2 linked regions of the Oreochromis niloticus genome follow. Each later gene encodes a partner of the first gene's protein in a complex. Links are inferred from orthologs where the notes say so. Each region holds a gene or a part of one and is shown on either strand. Other genes may lie near its edges.

Evidence for each region. Proteins that work in one complex are often made in the same cells at the same time.
Region 2: the proteins of ntsr1 (region 1) and nts are in contact, whole or in part, in a crystal structure (PDB 4BUO), measured with the Rattus norvegicus proteins. The link is inferred for Oreochromis niloticus from reciprocal best matches to the Homo sapiens genes NTSR1 and NTS. Residues at the interface, in NP_001102437.1 of Rattus norvegicus: Ser53, Asp54, Leu55, Asp56, Asn58, Phe128, His132, His133, Tyr146, Met208, Val224, Cys225, Thr226, Pro227, Ile238, Arg327, Arg328, Phe331, Cys332, Tyr333, Ile334, Ser335, Asp336, Trp339, Phe344, Tyr347, His348, Tyr351; in NP_001095851.1 of Rattus norvegicus: Arg157, Arg158, Pro159, Tyr160, Ile161, Leu162.

What each region holds. Positions count from the first base shown.
Region 1 is NC_031984.2:32,288,654-32,298,411, forward strand, and holds the start of ntsr1 (neurotensin receptor type 1), read right to left. Parts: upstream 4,367-9,758; 5' UTR 4,293-4,366; coding exon 3,609-4,292; intron 1-3,608. UniProt on the Homo sapiens protein: G-protein coupled receptor for the tridecapeptide neurotensin (NTS). Signaling is effected via G proteins that activate a phosphatidylinositol-calcium second messenger system.
Region 2 is NC_031972.2:42,109,203-42,119,611, forward strand, and holds the start of nts (neurotensin/neuromedin N), read right to left. Parts: upstream 4,264-10,409; 5' UTR 4,031-4,263; coding exon 3,970-4,030; intron 2,765-3,969; coding exon 2,703-2,764; intron 682-2,702; coding exon 478-681; intron 1-477. UniProt on the Homo sapiens protein: Neurotensin may play an endocrine or paracrine role in the regulation of fat metabolism. It causes contraction of smooth muscle.

The sequences.
Region 1 (9,758 bases):
CTCTTAAGGATCTCTTAAGAGCTCACTGTTGGGTTTGTAAGGCCATGTTACTCCTAAATTTCTATCTTGTTCAAAGAGAAGATATCAAACAAAGTTCTAAGCTAATCGACCTTAGTGTTCTCCTTTTTTTAAAAAAAGAATCGATAACAGAATCGATAAAGCATCGAATCGTTAAACAGAATCGAAAATGGAATCGGAATCATAAAAATCTTATTAATACCCATCCCTAACCCGGTGTGTCTAGAACATACCAGCATTTACTAAATGATATGTTTTTAATGCTTTGTTGAAATTGATCCTTTAACAGTGTAAGCCATGTGGGAAAGCTGTGAAGGAAAATCATTTTCCCAGTCCTGATCCAACTTGATTGGTCAGTTGAAATGGCATTAATTATGATGTTGTAGGAACAACACCATATCCGACACATTTTCAAGTGTTACCTTAAATTAAAGCTGTTGTTAGCTCTAGTGAGAGAACAATACCAACTAGGAGTAACATCTTAGTTAAATATTAGTAGAAGTATAGAAAATATTTAACATTTTTGAAACCCTTGAGAGATTTCGTTTGACAGTTTTAAGAAACACATCCAGGAGTCCTGCATTATTTATATTTGCCATTTACACACACACACACACACACACACACACACACACACACACTTTTTTCCCCTCAGAGTATTTCACTGTTGTCCAAACAGACCGAGCGTATGGTGACCGTCTACTGCAACAGGGTGCCTCCTAAACTGCTTACATCAAATCTATCATAGATGGACAATAGAGAATATGTACACAAACACTCAAAATGTTATTGTAGCAATTCGATTGTGTGATACCATCTGCTGCCAGACCCCAACACCCCAACTTATATTTCTACAGCAACACGTTGTCTACAGAGAACCGTGTGGAAAATGTGGACTTTTTAATGCAGCCTGGCTCACTTATGGCCTGAATGAAAGCAATGCAAGATAACAATTGCTATCCTTGGCACAGCTTTAGTTAGTCATGCAGGAGTGATGAAAACAGAAAAAAAAAAATGAGACATTGAAGGACATCAAAAGAGCAGAAAAACAGATATGGAAAAATAGATTCAGTATGATGCAGAGAAGCAGGGGGCACTAATCATGATGATCATTAACGATTACACTGGAACCAAAATCGCTTTTCTCCACAACCTCAACAAGTTTTCAGTCAATGTGAAGTATGTCGCCTGTCAAGCGAAGGGAGACTGGCCTAATCAATTACACAGCCTCTAAGCTTGTTGCTCTGTGGGAAGGCCTGGAGACAGTTTTGAGAAATATCTTTTCATTAGATGTGGGTGCCGCACTCTCAGTAAAAACTCAGTGTCTTGACTTCTATCAGTCACCTACACATCCAGAGCTCAAAGGCAAACTGCCATAAGGCACTTGTAGATTATTCCTAGGGTATCTGCCGTCAGACACAGATCAGCCTACAATGCACATAGTCCAGGGACTGAGGCACTTCAGGCATTTTCTCTTCTCTGGCATTTCAGACAGTTGCTCGAGAAAACAGAAGACCATGATATTTAGCTCTAATTTGTGTCCCTGTCCATTTCAACTAATTTCACAGAGTTTAAAGCTGTGATTCTCAAATTTTTGGTGGATGAGAGACAATTTAATGGGCACGCATTTGATTGAGGGCTGCATGGGTTAAATGCCACATAGTGGTGGTAATGTCATGGTTTGAGGCCAGACGGCTGGCCATCATTGATAAGTTTCACATTAAGCATGTGAAATTTGACATTGTGACATTTCACATGTAATAAGGGTCAAAAGCATCAATTCAGCGCTATGATTGAATTGAATTATTGAGACTGACATATAGAGCTGCAGAGGGACTTGCAAACATGCTTACACATCATATGTAGAGTTAGAGTCTGGCTGGTATTTTTCTGGGCCAAGGGAGTCCGAACAGAATGCCCCGTACTTAAATAATAAGTAGAACCAATAGGCTGAGAATTGTTAGATAATATTAATGCAGCAAGGTTAGGTTAGGGAGGTGTTTTTCTTTCTCTATCTTTTTCCAGAAAAGGAGCAGATGGTAGATGAGGTCAGACGTGGACGGAGTGGAGGAGAAGATCCGCGGGGGAGAAGACAGAACCGACCACGTCGTTTCCCAGAAGAAGATAGTCGTAATAATACTTGTTTTTATTGTGGCATAAAACTGTAATACAGGGTCATCCTTTTTGTCGAGCAGACCACTTGTTCACATCAAGGTTCAGCATGTTGTAACTTATAATTTCAACTGCTGTTCTTCCTTAAAGAAAGAAAAACAAACACCAACACCCTTTTTGAATTATATTTGTAACTGGTCTGTTCAGGGGGTTGTGTATAGGACTGTGCTTTATGCTGTTTTATGCTGTCATTTTGCTCTATTTTATAGTTCTCTGGCAATTTAGAAAGTGGCTGTTTTTTTTCTTATTCCTTGGCAGTACCTATACTTCCTGGTGTTAAGATATTTAGTCTGCTGTGATGATGAGATGAATTTCAAAAAGAATACTCCTTTAGTGTCCTCCTGTGCTTTTATATCATATCGTATAACATGGACTGTACGAATGAAGGTAAAGTGACACATTCTTTCTTTTCTTGTCACCATCACGGAGTGCATAATGTAAGACGGCTAGTTCCCTACATGAAAGCATCAAACCTACAGCAGTTCTGTGGGTGCTTCCACCCTCAAAATATTCAGTTTGCCACACAAAAGACAATGTCATGGTCTGATATTATCTTTTACAAGAAGCATTTCAAGAAATAGAATATCTTTGGAACCTGATCATTTTCACAGCTTGCATAAATTTATATTATATTTTTGACACTTCTGTATTTAACATTACTTTGACATGAGTTCAACCAACTCTCCCATTTAGGTTTCATGTGTAAAATAGCGCAAGCATTGGATTTTACTTTCCTAACCTTTCAAAGAGACCAAAAGCAACACATTCTCACATCTGAGGAGCTATAATGGTCAGATCTCTGGTGCTCTGTATGAAAAAAATATAGCTATAATCTAACTTTTTAGTGTGTTTATGAATGAATCTCTAATCATTCGAACTCTACCAGCTTAAAAACAAAGAAGAAAGTAAGCCAACACAACACAATTTGCTCACCAAATGTTTATTTTCAACAGATATATATATATAATTTATAAATATAACTGAAGACACGATAGTTTAAATAATTCGACTAAAAGCAATATTTGCTTTTTTCCGACTAAAAGCTATATTTGCTGATTTGCAGATCATTTGCTTGCAGCAGGAAAACACTGTTTTTGACAGACTTCGTTGACCCTACACGGTTTAATAACTAAAATGTTTTCATGAGCAGGCCACCATGTAGTTTTTTTTTTTCTCGACGAAACAACAACAACATGTATCGGTGCGCACAGACGATAATGGTAAAGGCGAAGTTGCGCGTAAAACTACAGCACACACTCCTAGATGTTTAGAACGATCTCACCATCTCAGCCATCTCACCTACCACTTGTGGCTCAAGTACTACTCATACTGTAGATTTTTACTCTCTCTCGATGCCTAAAGAAACCACAGTGGGGAGACGCGCGTTTGCGATAATAAAAGCTTTCCACGACACCCACCTGCAGCACGGTCTTCACCGTGACCGGAGACACCACAGTGGTGCATATCTTCTCGCCGTTACGCATCCCTTGGCCCATGATGAAGGGCATCGGCGTCGCGAGGGCGAAGGAAGCGAGCCACATGGCGCTGATGAGTTTCTTGGTGCGGCTGCGGGACATGATGCTCTTGGCTTTGAACGGGTGGCAGATGGCCATGTAGCGCTCCACGCTCAGGCTGGCGATGTTAAGCGCGGTGGCATAAGAGCAACTGTCCCGGAGGAAGTAGTAACCCCTGCACACGGCATCCCCAAACACCCATGGGTAATGGAACCAGATAAAGTTGTAGAGCTCAATGGGCATGGAGAGGATCAGGATGAGCAGGTCGGACACGGCGAGACTGGCCAGGTGATAGTGTACGGTGCTCTGGAGGTTCTGCAGCGTCTTTCTGGTAATCAGGGTATAAATGGTGATGGAGTTGCCCAGGGAGCCTATGGCGAACAGAGCCAAGTAAATGATAGTGACTATGACCTTTGCGTACACATTCGTATTAACTTCCAGGTCCTCCTCATTACTTTTGGGACCGACGGTGCTGTTATCAAATGGAGGCAGTGAGTTATTCTCAAAAAGTTTCTGCGCCAACGAGCCAAAGCCGATCAAGTCGCTCCCCGAGAGCGTGAAGTTTAAATCCATTCTGCTTTTTTTCATGAAGGTATGAAACGAAAAGGTACAACGGAGCAAGCCGAGCGGATATGTGCCGACGCGTTAACACTTGAAGTAAAACGGACTCGCTCTGGTTTAAGTCAGAGGAGACCACCCTTTATAATTTGGCACGACAGGAGGCGTGCTCGCTTATTGGTGCTGCTGCGATGACGCACGACCATTCACTTTGTCCGTTTGTTCCATCTTGTCCGTTTATGGTTCACCTTGGAAACAAACAGTGCGATGCAACAACGGATCAAGAATTAAAGGAATTTAATTTCAAGTATGGTTTCTAATATAAGTTTTTTTCTTTGCTGTTTTTCTCTGTTTTTTTTTTTAAAAAACCTTTAACTTTCTCTCCAAAAAGCTTTTGTCCTCTTTCTTCTCTCAGTCAGCCTTACAGAAAGAGATGATGTTATGTGTAAGCTGGAGACTCCACAACAGGGTACCAGACTTTACTCTGGGCCCCAGATAATGATTATGCTCATGATCTACTCCTAGTGTGAACTCCTTTGGACAAGAAGGAGAAAATTATTCTAATGGTTATTTCACAGCAGTTGGCACTGAATGCAGTGTAGCAAACCAGGCTCACCTCTTTTTGACATTTTTCCCACATTGTTTATCACACAGTTGTACATCTAAAGATTTTAATATATGCATATCATTTCAGTTTTTCCTCACGCCTGGGTGCTCACTATCATTCATATGTTGCTCATACATTATATAAGGCTTTAAAGCATTGTTTATGTGTTGCAAGATCATTTCTGTTGTGGGACTCTGCCGAGCATCAACAACCTGTCCATGACACCCTCCAAACTCTGATAAAACAGAACATCTCTTTCTGATTGCTGCCCTGGGGCAAAAGTCCCCTAAAAATCAATACAAATGTATAGAATAGAAATAAAACCAGTGGATTATTTAACAGTGGCTATTGTTTTAGTTATATAGTTAAGATTTGTGGGATTCATAAAATAATATTTCTCTAAAAAGATAATTTGATAGTCATTTGTCTAAAAAAAGGGAGAGGAAAAATCCCAACATGCAACATTCAGCATGGTGCAAAAGTCTGAGCCACTTATGATTTCTGTATATTTTGATAGGAAAACAATTATATATTTTTACAGTTGCAACAGGCTTGAAAGTCAACATTTTGTATGATCACCTTTATGCTTCAACACTCTCTTAGGCAGCTTTCCTGTAATTTTTTTTTAAGGAGGCTTCAGGAATAGTTCTTCAGGCTCATGGAAATGTTGTCTGCCTTTTGTTCTGCCATCCTCTCAGGATGATCCCACACTGCTTCAATAATGTTATGTTGGTCTAGGATCTGGGAGACCAGCTCTTGATTGATGTATGCTTTTGTATCCAGACCTGCTTTTCCTGCATTGACAATTTGTTTCAGTACCATTGTACTGACAATTGAAACTGTTGCCAATCAGATGCTTTCCAGATTAAATTGCATAGTCGATCAAAATCTGATGTTACTTTTCTGCATTCTCTCTAGGCTTGTGTTTATGCTATAGAAACGCACTGTGATACCGTTCTCCTCACCTCATCCTTAATGATAATTTGAACAAAAAATTTCAAATTTGGATTAATAACTTCATAAGACATGTTGCTACTGACTTCAGTCCAGTGGTTGTGTAATTTGGCATACTTTGGCCTTTTCTTCCTGTTTCTCTTCCTTGACAATGGCTTCTTAACAGCCATGTTTTACTGAGACCATTTTTGATAAGGCTTCAGCAAACAGTAGGTGGATCAAATGAAGGGCTAGGGTTGTCTCTAGTGCTGTGTCAGGTCTTTTGCGGCTTATTTCATACTGCTTAATAACACAACTTTCAGATACTGTTCAACGCTTCTCCTTTTACCGCCACTTGTCCAGTTTCCTCAAATTTATATGGACATACTGCACAGCATGCTGAGGTATGGCAAATTTTCAGGTATTAGCTCTTTGGGAACCACCTTGCTGATGCTAAGGTGCCTAATGATGCAATTTAAAGTGTACAAGAAAAACTACATGTATAAAGGGTAATTTACACGGGGCGATCGTGGCTCAAGAGTTGGGAGTTCGCCTTGTAATCGGAAGGTTGCCGGTTCGAGCCCCGGCTTGGACAGTCTCGGTCGTTGTGTCCTTGGGCAAGACACTTCACCCGTTGCCTACTGGTGGTGGTCAGAGGGCCCGGTGGCGCCAGTGTTTGGCAGCCTCGCCTCTGTCAGTGTGCCCCAGGGTGGCTGTGGCTACTATGTAGCTTGCCATCACCTGTGTGTGTGAATGGGTGGATGTCTGGATATGTAAAGTGCTTTGGGGTCCTTAGGGACTAGAAAGCGCTATATAAATACAGGCCATTTACCATTTACACCATGGAGGAGAGCAAAATATAGACATGAGGGGTGGTTCAAGACTTTTTCACATTTCTGTATGTGGTTTTTTTTTCCAATTCACCCAGTTAAAGAACAATATTAATTGTTATTAACTGTTAAATATTAAATATATTTTTGTTCTTCTCCTATTTTTGTAAAAAACATTTTTCTGGTGTGATATAAGATAACAATCCAATAGTTATAACAGGCAAAAATACTAATAGTGCTAACTCCTTTTTAAAATGTTTAGTAACAGAGTTAACTTAAACAGATCTGAATCATGTACAATTTCCAGGCAGTCACTTACCCTAGGTTTGTTTTTAAGGAAAACCAGTGTGTCCACATTAAATTGTAAGGAGAAGCTTCTTAGTTTTAATAATGAAAAGACAATTTAAGCACTTATTCAACCTTCATGACTGAATTAGTTGTTATTAAAAATGTGGGGAATTTAAAAAGTCATTTATAAGCACTACCTGCTTTTAGGTATAGCATAAAATGTTTAGAAAGTCTTTATAATTAAAATATAAGATCTAAAATATAAGCTTTAAAAGAAATGTCATGTCTCTGACTGTCCACTGTTAACCCTTTTAGCAGAGCTCCTGTGACTTATATTGTAAGTATCTTATGTTGCTCTCTCTCAGTAAAATTTGGGCACAATAAAACTGGTGTGAAAGCCACCCCAATTTTTTGTCAGACATATGTATATTTTATCCACAGGTACAGTTAAAAAAATGATGCTAATATGTTCTGCTAGAGAGTATTGCAGGGAAACGTTTTAAAATCAGACAGTCTTCCATGTCATCCCTACTCTCAGTTCACAGGCAGAAAGGAATGAAAAAGAAAATAGAACCTTAGAGAAAATGAAAGTGAAGGTGCCATAATGGTAGCGATGTGTCGTTTGTGAATGAGCCGGTTCTCAGAGTCGATTCTTTCTAGCGAATGACAAGAGCTGACTCTAGCCAGGGAGAGCCACATCTTTAGCCTACCCTACTGAGAACTCATGCATGTAGGGATGGGATATTATTTTGATTGACATGCCATATGGCCAATCACATGCAAAGACAGACCATTATGTGAAAGAAGGAAGGTTGGCAGCTATTTCAAACAGAGCATGTCGGGAAAATAATATTTTAAAACTTTACTTTCACTAAAAAGTGATGAAATGAGTGAAACATGAAAAGAAGCATCTGACTGCATTTCAATGGTATTGGAACTGCAAAGATAAAATTATATTTATTTTTTCAACCATTTGCCATTGTGGAGGACAACAGATTTAAAACTTTTTTTCCAGGCCTTAAATTCCATGTATTTTCTACCAAGCAGTTGCATAAAATTTAAGTGTTTTTGAAAACACTGAATCAAAAATTGGTTCACAAAAGACAAACAATTCATAATTGTGAAATTAGGTTAAATAGAAGGCTCTGAAGTGGGAAACAAGCCAAAAGAGCAGAATCTTCGAAAAGAGCCAGATCTCCCATCACTACATCATAGATACAGCATATATTTACAAAAGCTACAGAAAGCTGCAAGCAAACCTAAATTTGTACATGATCTTTCAGGAGCTCCCTTTAGGGGTCACTACAGCAGAACATCTGCCTCCACCTCACTGTATCCATACCGTCTTATTCTGTCAAACCAACCAACGAACCAACCCTCTTTATCTTTATGTCTGGCAGCTCCATATTCAACATCCTTTGCCCATTATATCCACTCTCTGTCTTCTTCAGCCTTCTCAGCTTTGGCTCTTTAACTTTGTCTTATCCTCTGTTACCTTTAGTTGTGCCTCTTGTCTTTTTGTCAGTTTCCAAAACATACATCATGGTAGGTCTCACTACTATCTTGCTGCTAATCCTGTGTCATAAACCACCCCTGGCACTCTCAACCTGCTGGATCATTTCTGCATCTTCATTAGGCGATTTGGTAAGAATTTAGCTATTCTGATTCCATTATAGATCTCTTATTGATTGTGATTGGGTTCTTACTGGCTCTGTTTTGAGAGTAACTGCCATTGCTAAGCAGCAATAAAGAAATTACATTGGATCAAATGTTTCTGCATGTTTGTTGAGGTATTTCCCCTCTTTGTTGTGATCAGTGTTGGAGTCATTATTAAAAAAGTAATTATTACACATATTATGCAGAACATGTTTCTTAAAAGTAATGCAGTACCTTAATTAACTACTCCCAGAAAAAAGTAATTTATTATACTACTCATTACATTACTTTCATGTTACTCTGTAAAATAGCTGAAACACACTGTCTCATAATCACCATTCAACAAACATAAATCTGAGGCTACAACCCCGCAAACCAACACAAATCCCTAGTAAGGACAAACATCTTTAAGATCTTTCTCTTAGTAGAATACAAAGCTGACCGCACAAAGCAAAGATGAAAACCAGCACAAAAAAAAGATTGCCACATAGATTCTGATTTAGAAACATGAACAGGTAGAAAGGGAGGCTTCAGCCTGAATGCTCATCTCTTTGTTACTTATTGAAGTAAAGGGTCCAGCTGCTGGGGTTGGCATTCACCCAGCTTTCACCCTGGGTTTTTGGCTAGCTTAGTATTAGCATCCTGTCTGTAGAGATGCAGAAGCATAATGTGGTTGTTTCTTTGCTAGATTGCCATGTAGCTTGTCTTTTTGTGCAATAAATATAAATGTCCATATTCACACTCTAGACTGCGTGGCTGTTTTCCTCCTCTGACTGTGAACTGAAATCAGCTGATTGTAGCAGCAGGCAGACTAACAATTCTAAGGAATGGGCTACTGGGAACTGATTTTCTACAAGAACATGTTCTCAATTTCCATACCTAATCTAAATTTTCTTCCTGCATCAGGAACTCAAGCCTTATTTATTAAGGACAAACCTGCTGCTGAACCATGCAGCACCTCTGTATGGCTGCACTATAACATCATGATATCAACATACTGGACATCAGACCTGGTTTTGTTCAAACCTAAAGATATACCCAACACCTTTTGGCAGTTTCCCTCACTACTACAGCTGTACTTACCTAGTTATCTGGTAACTTCCATGCCACCTAGAGCCAGTCTTCCTAAACTCTGCAGAACATCCTTTCTTCTTCTACTTCCACCGTTTAATCCTCTACTGT
Region 2 (10,409 bases), on another chromosome or scaffold:
AACATGTTTTGGTACTGACTGCTAATCTGCAGGTGTTGTGTTAACATTTAAAAAATGAGAAATGCCACAGTGCAAGGAGCCAAGAGCGGAAAGAAAAACGATGACAGCGAGTGAGGAAGAGATGAGGAGGCGAAGTGGGGGTGAGGGGAGATTTAACGAAGTGTGTTTGCTTTAGGAGAGAATACACATGCTCCTGTGTGTTCTGGCGCTGTGAGTGAGTAAGTGTGTATGTACACAAGTCTGTGTATTTGTTTTGACTGGGCTTTTGGTTGACAGTTACTTCTCAACAAGTAGCTTAGCTAGGAGATTAGCACTTTTGAGAATTTCCTTAGCTATCCATAATTTATGCAAGGTGCTAGTGGAACCTCTGATACTTAGATTTTACCAGTAAATATTTGCTTGTGCTTATGCAATTTGTTGTTATTTGAAAAGTAGCCCACACAGCAAAATAAAGTAAGTTAAAGATGATTGTCTGACCCTCTCCTCCCGGCTCTGCAGTACTCGGCAGATGCGCTGCAAGTTGTACATCTCATCCAGCAGCTGGAGGCTCCCCTCCCTCAGACCCCCATCCTCGTCCTCCTCCTCGCCACTCCATGCCTCCTGGCGCAGGGCGCTCAGCATCTTACAGAGGTTGGCCAGAGACACGCGCCAATAGGGGGCACTCTGCTTATTCTGTTTCATCTGCACAGAGGGCACAAGATACCAGGATGAGACAGTTAAATGGATTGAATGGTTGGGTTTTTAACACTCAGAGTGCATCACTTAATCAGATTCCTGCTTTGAGCGATATTTTTGTTGGTGTTTTAGTGTATTTTGTGAACTTGGGTGAAGTCAAAACTGTGCTGACCACTCAAGAGGCTGACGTTTCAGGTGGTTTAGAAGCTTTTTGGTTTAATGGGGATTGTTTTCTCTCGTGAAACATTTATATCGACAGAAATGATCCGACTGAAAAACGACATTTTCATCCATTACTCAATCCACGTCCACAACACTGTAAGTACAAACTGTGGCCATAATTTTAAAATTCAGCCAAACTGTTGACTTTATCATTTTGATATTTGTCCTTTCATAGCTTATTTCATAGCAAACAGAATACAGTCAATATTGTGATCTACACCTAACTCTCACTCAGTGTTTTAATGTTGTACATTTTGCATTTGCAGCAGTAAACACTCAGGTAGTTCCTTTAAAAATGGACTGAGGATTCTGCATGTGAGACTTTTACAATGTAATCTAAGCACCGATTATTTTTTAAAGACACATGCACTCAGAGTGAACTTTTCAGCCACACGTAACTTCATTTAAGTGCAGACAACTGAGTTATAATCTAATGTCTCTAGAGTGCAGTGAGATATTAAAGAGCCCCCAGAGTCTTCTGTGTGTACTGGCTGTCACGTGCATGTTGCAGTTAAAGATGTCAGTGTCAGTGAGGCTCACTCGGGTCATCATTTATATACAGTATCCTCAAATATAAAGACAAAAACTCTTTTTGTTTGCCAGGCAGGAGACGTGGATAAAAGCTTTAGTGGCATCAAATGAACAAGTCTCGCAGGATCAAACATAAGCAGCTGACATTTGGAAATTGCCCATGCACAAAAGACAAACTAGCTGAGTTAGTGTGGCCATGCAATTGTGCTGTAATGTCATATAAAAGATTGTGGTGCTTCACTGGAAATTTTTACCTTAACGTTAGTCTCCTGGGCTCTTTAGCGTTCACAAACTTGCATTTTATAGAGACGCTAAAGCAGTTACAGCAAAAGCTCAATCTAAATTCCAGCATCGGAACAACTAACGATACTGAACACAGAGGTCAGTGACTCACTATGCAGAGAAATAAGAAGGTAATTTAGTTGTATTCAGTAGAGAATGAAAAACCACAATGGAGCATTAACCGTGGTATTTAATCAGATGAAAGGAAGTGAGGAGTATATCAGTCAATTTTATTGTCAAATATATAGTGTGTAGATAAAGAGCCACAAATAGGTCTATCTTCCACCATACTGCACTTTCCAGCCTCTTGAGCAGTCTGTCAGTCATGCAGCAAGTTATTATTACAATCATCACCCCTGAGCAACCTCTGAGCATCGGCAGCCATGAATCAAATGGCTGATTTGTCACCGTCATGTCTCCGTGTGAGCATCGCGGTTTTTTATCAGCAGGAAGGGTAAAAGATGTGTCGTAACTATACTGCCAGGTCCATCTGAATCCTATTAGGATCGGCCATCCGTCTGTGCATGCCTTTGGTTCCACATTCACTGATTTCATACCTGAGCTTTGCATAGCCTCAGGCAGACATCAGATAAATGTGATAAAAAGCTCAAAGTTACAACTGAATTAGAATGCCCAATCTCAGCTCTTATTTTCTCCTCGTTTCAAAGGACTGCAGCAAATGGAAAGGTGATTATTTTTTTATTTTTCTGAGCACATTTGAACTGGATACACTTTTAAAAAGAACAAATCGACTTAAAAAACAAAGTAAATGCTCAGGCAGCCTGAGTGGCACAAAAAGCCTCTTGTGGTAAATTATTTATCTCCCACTCAGCATAAGCACAACCGCAAGTTGAGGTCGCCACTGAAGCGCGGATGTAGATTTCATGAAAGAACACATGGAAAGCCTTTATCGGCGAGGTCAGAGACCGACCCGGCAGGATGAAGCTTTTCTTTCCAGTCTCTGATATCACAGATGTAAAAAGACCAGATACCTTGGAAGTGAAGAGACTGCTGAGTAGTTCCTCTTCTAGCGCTCGCTGCTCCTGGTCGACATCTGTCAGTTACAGAAAAACAGCTTTACAACATTCACATTTCACACAAATAAAAACACAAAACAAAAGATTTCTGCCCTCATAAACATAAAGCAATATAACTAAAACAAAAATACTTGGTCTAATCTAAATGTATACCGAGACATGTAATCCAACTACTTAAAGAAGTCAGTATTTGGGGCATCAATATTTTTGGAGTGGAGTTTAGCTCAGTCCTCAATGAAATGTTATTTAAATTTAAGAATTAGTTTCTCATCATTTACATTTGAATAGTAATGTGGCGAAGAAACCCAGCCCTCGGTCATCTTGATCACTATTGATAATGGAGTCCCTGTGCACCCTGACAGTGACAAAAAGCAACACATAATATCAATATGTATATATACATGTGTGTGTGTGTGTGTGTGTGTGTGTGTGTGTGCATAAAAGTTGTCTTTTATTTGCTTATTGATCCAAAAGTGACTATCATCTAGTACCAATCCATTCACATGGATTTTGAGTATTGGAAATAGTTCAGTGTAAACTGCATTTAATGTAAAATAAATGAAACTAATTAAGTTTCATTTCCCTGACATAGGATCAAACAAAGAATGTTAACAATAGTGTAAGTTACATTAATAGTTACATTAATAGTTTTCTCTGCTGTGCCTTGTTTGAAAGAGGTGAAGTGAAACTTTCATAAAAGCCCATATTCACTTGTGACTATGGCCACTTTTAAGCTTTCAACAGGTGACACTATTGATCAGCCTGAGTCCCAGTGCACCCTGACAGTTAAACAAAGCACAAATTATGCATCGATTTGAAAGACTGGAAGAGGCAATTGATCTTTGAGGGGGGAAATAGTTTTGTAGTAGCCTAAAAGAGCTGCAATCCTTGAGCAACATTAAGATTTTCACTTATACATTTATTTTTTTTAATAAACCGAGGTTTAAAAGTTAGCTGAGTCATGAAGTCAGATGCCATTCTCTGATTTTTCCTAAAAAATAAATAATTTCAACTGCAGGTTATTTCAGTATTTAATCTAAAGGACCAAACTCAAAACCATCCTGTTTAACCAACTTTGCCATTCAAGGTTTTTCAGAAATATTTGCAGTATTTTTTTTCCTTCTTTTATGCACATGCAACATTTCAGTAAGATGCACCTGTTTTGTGAATAAATTCATAAAGTTCTGCATAGAAAACCTGTTGAAAGAACACCAGTGCTTACCTGTACAAAGTGCACCACATGTTAAACAGAGGAGAAGCATACACGCCAACTGTGTCTGCATCTTGATCAGAACAAAAAAATCTGAAAAGAAATACCCCAAACGAACAAAAAAAGGATCCCACACTGAAGAATTCACCTGAGGAGGAATCTAGTCCATAAGGTTAGGGGCCAGACACAGACAAAAAGAGGCTGAAGACAAAATTTAGTGAAGCTGTTGTTTTTTTTTCTTGTTCTTCTTCTCCTTCAGATCTATACACACTTAAGCAGTTTTCTGCTGCTGGGATGTGAAGCACAGTGGGCTCCATTCCCTGAGTATATAAGAGCCAAAGTGATGTCACAGCATCTGCCCCCCCCTACCCCACCCACACAGACACACATCTCCATCCCCACCTTCCCACCCATTACCACATCCCACTCATTCTCCCTTCATGGCATCTCTTCACTCATGTCACTGTGTCATCAGATGTTTCATCCGACGTCACTCCGGCATCATGACGCGAAAGGTTTTTGCGTCAAGGTTTGGAAGATGTGGTTATTTCCCCTCATGAACGCACACAGTCTGAGGTTAGTTTAGCCTCATGTTCCACTGACGGGAACCAGCAGTGATGAGGCAGGATGAACAAATCAGGCTCACTTTTTGCTTCACAGTTGAACAGTCTTTTCATTTATTTTTTCCTAATTCATCAGGTTGTTGCCTTGGTTAACAAACAAAACCAGTACATGCTAAAGGCTTAAATATTGCTGACAATTAGGACTTAATTAACATGAAGGCCCATGTTTCTCTAAAGCAGGTTTTACTTTGTAGTAGTTTTTTTTTTCTACTATGAATTCCCGCTGACATAAATGTAATCCATTAATCAACAAAAAGCTTGAAATTTATTACTGCTTTGCATGATCATCACAATCAGTCCACAACCTGCAGACGTTGGGATTTCTATTTTTTGACTTTAATAATAAAAAACTGGCTTTCACAACTTGTTAAGAGGACCTTGGAAACAATGACTAAGAAAATAATCTTACCACCAGGTCCATTTGGTAGCTTTTGAAAGCTTTCCATCATATACCCTCCAACTTTATTTCTCTTCTTTCGGTTTATATTTTTGTGTAATTCCATAGAAAACACTTTAAATCAGCATACTTACTCTATGAACTTAAGAGCAAATACAAAGCCATGCACTAATTTCTGATTCATTTTGTTAATGTAGTTGAAATAGAGCTGTTTTCTGGTTTTGTTGCACAAAATTGTAAAGGGGGAGCCAAATGTTGGGACCGGTTGAGCCTGAGGAAAAAACACGAGATGAGGTAAGTAAAGAAGAAGACTTCTGGGAGCCTAACCCTATTGCAGCCAACCAATGGATGGTCCATGGTCACCTGATCCAGCCCTTACTATAGGCTATATCAAAAGGGAAGTTTTAATCCTAATTCTAAAAGTGAAGAACCTGTCTGTCTCCCAAACTGGGAACTGATTAAGTTCAAATTAGTTCAATTCAATTTTACTTATATAGCATCAAATCACAACAGTTGCCTCAATGTGCTTTATAGACCCTCCAATAATACAGAGAAAAACTTCTCAATCGGATGTCACAATCTGGTGACAGTGGGAAGGAAAAACTCCCTTTTAACAGGCATAAACCTCGGGCAGAACCAGGCTCAGGGAGGGGCGGCCATCAACCACAACCAGCTGTGGGTGGAAGACAGGATGAAGACATGCTGTGGAAGAGAGCCAGAGATTAATAATAACTAACAATTAAATTCAAGGAGACAGAAGAGGGACCTGATAGCTGTAAGTTCCACCTCAAATTCTACTTTAAAAGATTTGCATGTGAGGAGAAGAATTTTAACTTACATTTTTTATTTAACAGGGAGCCAGTGAAGAGAGGCCAATATAGAAAAATAGGATTTCTCTTTCTAGTCCCTGTCAGAATTCTCACTGCAGCCTTCTGATGTAACATTTAACTGCAAATTGGTCTGCAGAAGCAGACACTGACAACCATTAATGGGTTTAACTTGTTTATTGAACAGATAGTAAAGGGTAGGCGAGTGACTTAGAATACTAGAACCTTTATGGAAGTCTCTACTGAAGGAGACAGAGTGCATGCAGGTAAGTCTCTGTAAGCTATTAGAGGCGAGAGATAAATCTTGTAATTCGCTTGAACAGGGATTTAAGAGGGACTGCTGGCATACAGACACAATACCTTAGGAGTAGGGATGCAACGATACCAATTTTTTCAAACCGATCCGATACCGATACTTGGATCTGAGTACTTGCCGATACCGAGTACAAAATCCGATACTTCTACCACACACAAGTTAAACTTAACCAGTAGTAAAGAAACGACCCCAGACAACTCTTTAACACAAACGAAACGTTTACTGAACGTAAGGGCAGAGACAAATACTGTACAACACATCCCTTTTTTAAACTCAAATGATATTCCAATTCCTTAACCAAATGAAATACACTGTATAAATGAAATAATTCCCTTTCAAATTATATTAAACAACCCAACTTATGTTATCACCTTTTGGTAAGTTACTCACTAATATACACTCCAAAACACGTTATATAACTCCACTAAACATACAATATTCACACATGGGCCCCACACACACTCACATTCACACTTGTTGCAGGCCTGTTTGCTGCTCACGCCGGACGATGGAGAAAAATCCTCTTCTCCCCAGTAAGAGCACAAAAGTCTGACTTACAGTTCCGTTGCTCGGTAGGTCGCCGTTCACCAGTCCCACACTAAATCCACTCCCTGCGGACCCGATGCTGTCTCTGCTACAGCACGTTAGCCCGTCACTGTCCAGCTCTCCGACAGTCCATAGCGGCTGCCTCCGTGGTGCAGCCAAGCAGTCCGGGCTAGCCTTTAGCCTCGGCGGTCGTAGCTGGAAACACAGTTTTCCACGGTGGTGCGACCGTTGAAACAAAAAGTCACTTCACCCACACTCTGTTGTGAAGCTCTCACACAGTTAGCTTTCTAGTTACACACTCTTTTGTGCTAGTTAACCTCAGTAAAACTAGCCGAGTCTCTCACTTTGGTTCAGCTAACCTCGTGCATCTCTCCATGCCGTTCTCTATGGGCAGAAATCTGTGCCATCAGAAACTGAATTTGAATAAGTTAAATTTGAATTTGAATTACTCGGATTGAATCTGAATTGTAACTTGAATGAAAGCTTTTGAAAACTGAATTTGAATTAGTTTAATTTGAAATTGAATTTATGGTTTGAAAATGAATTGATTTGCTTTGAAACTGCATTTTATCCTTTAAAAATTCAGCTCTCGAATAATTTCAGATTCACTTCTCACCATTCAGTTTCAGTTCTACAATTCAATTTCAGTTCCAAAATTCAGTTTTTTGGGACTTACATCCGGTTCCGGTTCAAGCGCAGATTAATAGAACTACAGACTGATAGCGTTACTGATGGAATCTACAGCGTCTTGAGCTGAATTAAGACTTCAGAAGTCATTCGTCATGTCGAATGACCAGCGGATAAACTCTCAGGTTGGTAATAAATGTATTACATGTATAAGAACAAGCGTCATGTTAACAAATGATAGCCGTACAGTAACCTTCATGCTTATTGTAGCTGTTAGCTAAAAACGCTAATTTAGCGTAGTTTGCCCTGATTTCAGCTTTGACAAACAAATATGATCGACTGTTTCTAGTAGAATTCCAAAGTTGTCATCTTGTACCCTGTCAGAGCCCTGTATGCTTGCAGAGACCCCTACAGTAGGGAAACATGCAAAACGCTGTCCAAACCTTTGTATTTGAGCTTTATTTATGTCTTACACAGCATCCCAACTCTTTAGCTAACTTAATAACTTTAGCTAAAGTGAATAGTTAGTCTAATTCATTAGTGCAGCGTTACTGGATCACCTCTGTTTGAAGTGATATAATATGATATACAACTATCACTGTGTTTAACTACCATAATAATTCTTAGGGTACTGAGTGCGTGCTTAATTAGATTTTTTTTTTTTTTTAAACATACTGCTCCATTGCTATGTTTGACAGGCTGAAGTTGTCGGGTCACCTCCTAAATCGACCATCTTTTACAGGTGTTTTGTGTCAGAAATGGAGTGTCCACTGAAGACTGAAGATACTGAATCTCTACGCCTTGCCATTGATCCCTCCTGTGCCTTCATCTAGACAAGAGACATTAACTTAACCACTCTCACATGCTCTGTACCTACATCACCTTCCCTGACAGTCGTAGCTTGGCTCATCTGAGGGTGAAATTATAAGAATGTGTTATTTTGCAAAGTGCTCTCTAGGGTTCCTAAATAAAATATGGCATTGAGGTCATTTCTTTTGAATTAATCCCTTCTTCTGAAATATAAGATCCTCTCCTGGTTTAAATGGCACTTTCTGTTCCTTACTTCCTGTTCCACTCCCAACCCCAAATAGATGCTGACAAGCTGACACAGTAACATGGAAGAGGGAAAGAAGCTGGAAAGGACTACTACAAATAAACCCAATGCCTAACAATGAAAAATGTAAAATAAGAACAATAATAATAATAAAGATAAAAGATGAAGTAACAAGTTTTTTGTTTTTTTGTTTATTCCAAATGATCATCCAGATGTCTGTGACATGTGATGACAAACACCATAATGGAAGGCCTTAGTCATCACATGCTTAAACTCATCATATATTTTTGCATATGCTGAACAGGCAGTCAGACATGCTGTAACTGTGGGGTAGAAAACTGCATGAACACCATACAGCAGGGGTCTCAAACTCCAGTCCTCGAGGGCATGGAAAAGTTGCATGACACCGGCCTTCGAGGAATGGAGTTTGAGACCCCTGTCATATGGAATATGACAGGTTTTGGTTGAACTTCATGAAGACTCTGAAGTTTCTCTTCTCTTCTGGCAGGACAGGAATGTAGCCTTGTCCTGTGAGCCACCGTAAGGATGTACTTAGAGTAGAACTGGAGTGTCACCGGCCTCAGGCTCTTCACCTTTTCAAAGACAAAGCAGTCATTTAGATAAAATATTAGATATTGTTTACCTGTAAATGCACAAAGAGAATTTAGAAATGTAATTATTGTCAAGAGTGAACAAGCACTGATAGTGTAATCTACAGCTGTGGCCAAACGTTTAGAGAATGAGAAGTGTTGTTTATTTACAAAGTTTGCTGTTTCAGTGATAGTTGTATATCATATTATATTACTTCAAACAGAGGTGATCCAGTAAAGCTGCACCAATGAATAAGACTAACTATTCACTTTAGCTAAAGTTATTAAGTTAGCTAAAGAGTTGGGATGCTGTGTAAGACATAAATAAAGCTCAAATACAAAGGTTTGGACAGCGTTTTGCATGTTTCCCTACTGTAGGGGTCTCTGCAAGCATACAGGGCTCTGACAGGGTACAAGATGACAACTTTGGAATTCTACTAGAAACAGTCGATCATATTTGTTTGTCAAAGCTGAAATCAGGGCAAACTACGCTAAATTAGCGTTTTTAGCTAACAGCTACAATAAGCATGAAGGTTACTGTACGGCTATCATTTGTTAACATGACGCTTGTTCTTATACATGTAATACATTTATTACCAACCTGAGAGTTTATCCGCTGGTCATTCGACATGACGAATGACTTCTGAAGTCTTAATTCAGCTCAAGACGCTGTAGATTCCATCAGTAACGCTATCAGTCTGTAGTTCTATTAATCTGCGCTTGAACCGGAACCGGATGTAAGTCCCAAAAAACTGAATTTTGGAACTGAAATTGAATTGTAGAACTGAAACTGAATGGTGAGAAGTGAATCTGAAATTATTCGAGAGCTGAATTTTTAAAGGATAAAATGCAGTTTCAAAGCAAATCAATTCATTTTCAAACCATAAATTCAATTTCAAATTAAACTAATTCAAATTCAGTTTTCAAAAGCTTTCATTCAAGTTACAATTCAGATTCAATCCGAGTAATTCAAATTCAAATTTAACTTATTCAAATTCAGTTTCTGATGGCACAGATTTCTGCCCTTCTTCTCCTCCTCCATTGCAACAGATACACAGGTCCCGTTTTATGCTACCTTCACGGGCCTCCAGAAAATTAGAACTCTGAACAATATTTTATCTCCCTTCAGAGTTACATACCATAAAATAATACTTTATGATTAACATAACAGTTTGATTGCTCTAATTACCTGTATTTACCTTGTGACATATTACAGGGCAAATTAAATTCAGGGTACAGTTACATCACATAACTGTGAACACCTTATGTTACCGTGGCGTTCAAGTCCATGGGAATTATGAGTATCTACTCCCAAATTCGGGCTACATTAGTATCGGTTCATGGTATCGGTTAACTTTTACGAGTACGAGTACGCACACATTTTACAGTATCGGCCCCGATACCCGATACCAGTATCGGTATCGGTGCATCCCTACTTAGGAGTAGTGAGTGGGTTGGTGGAAAGTGGGGAG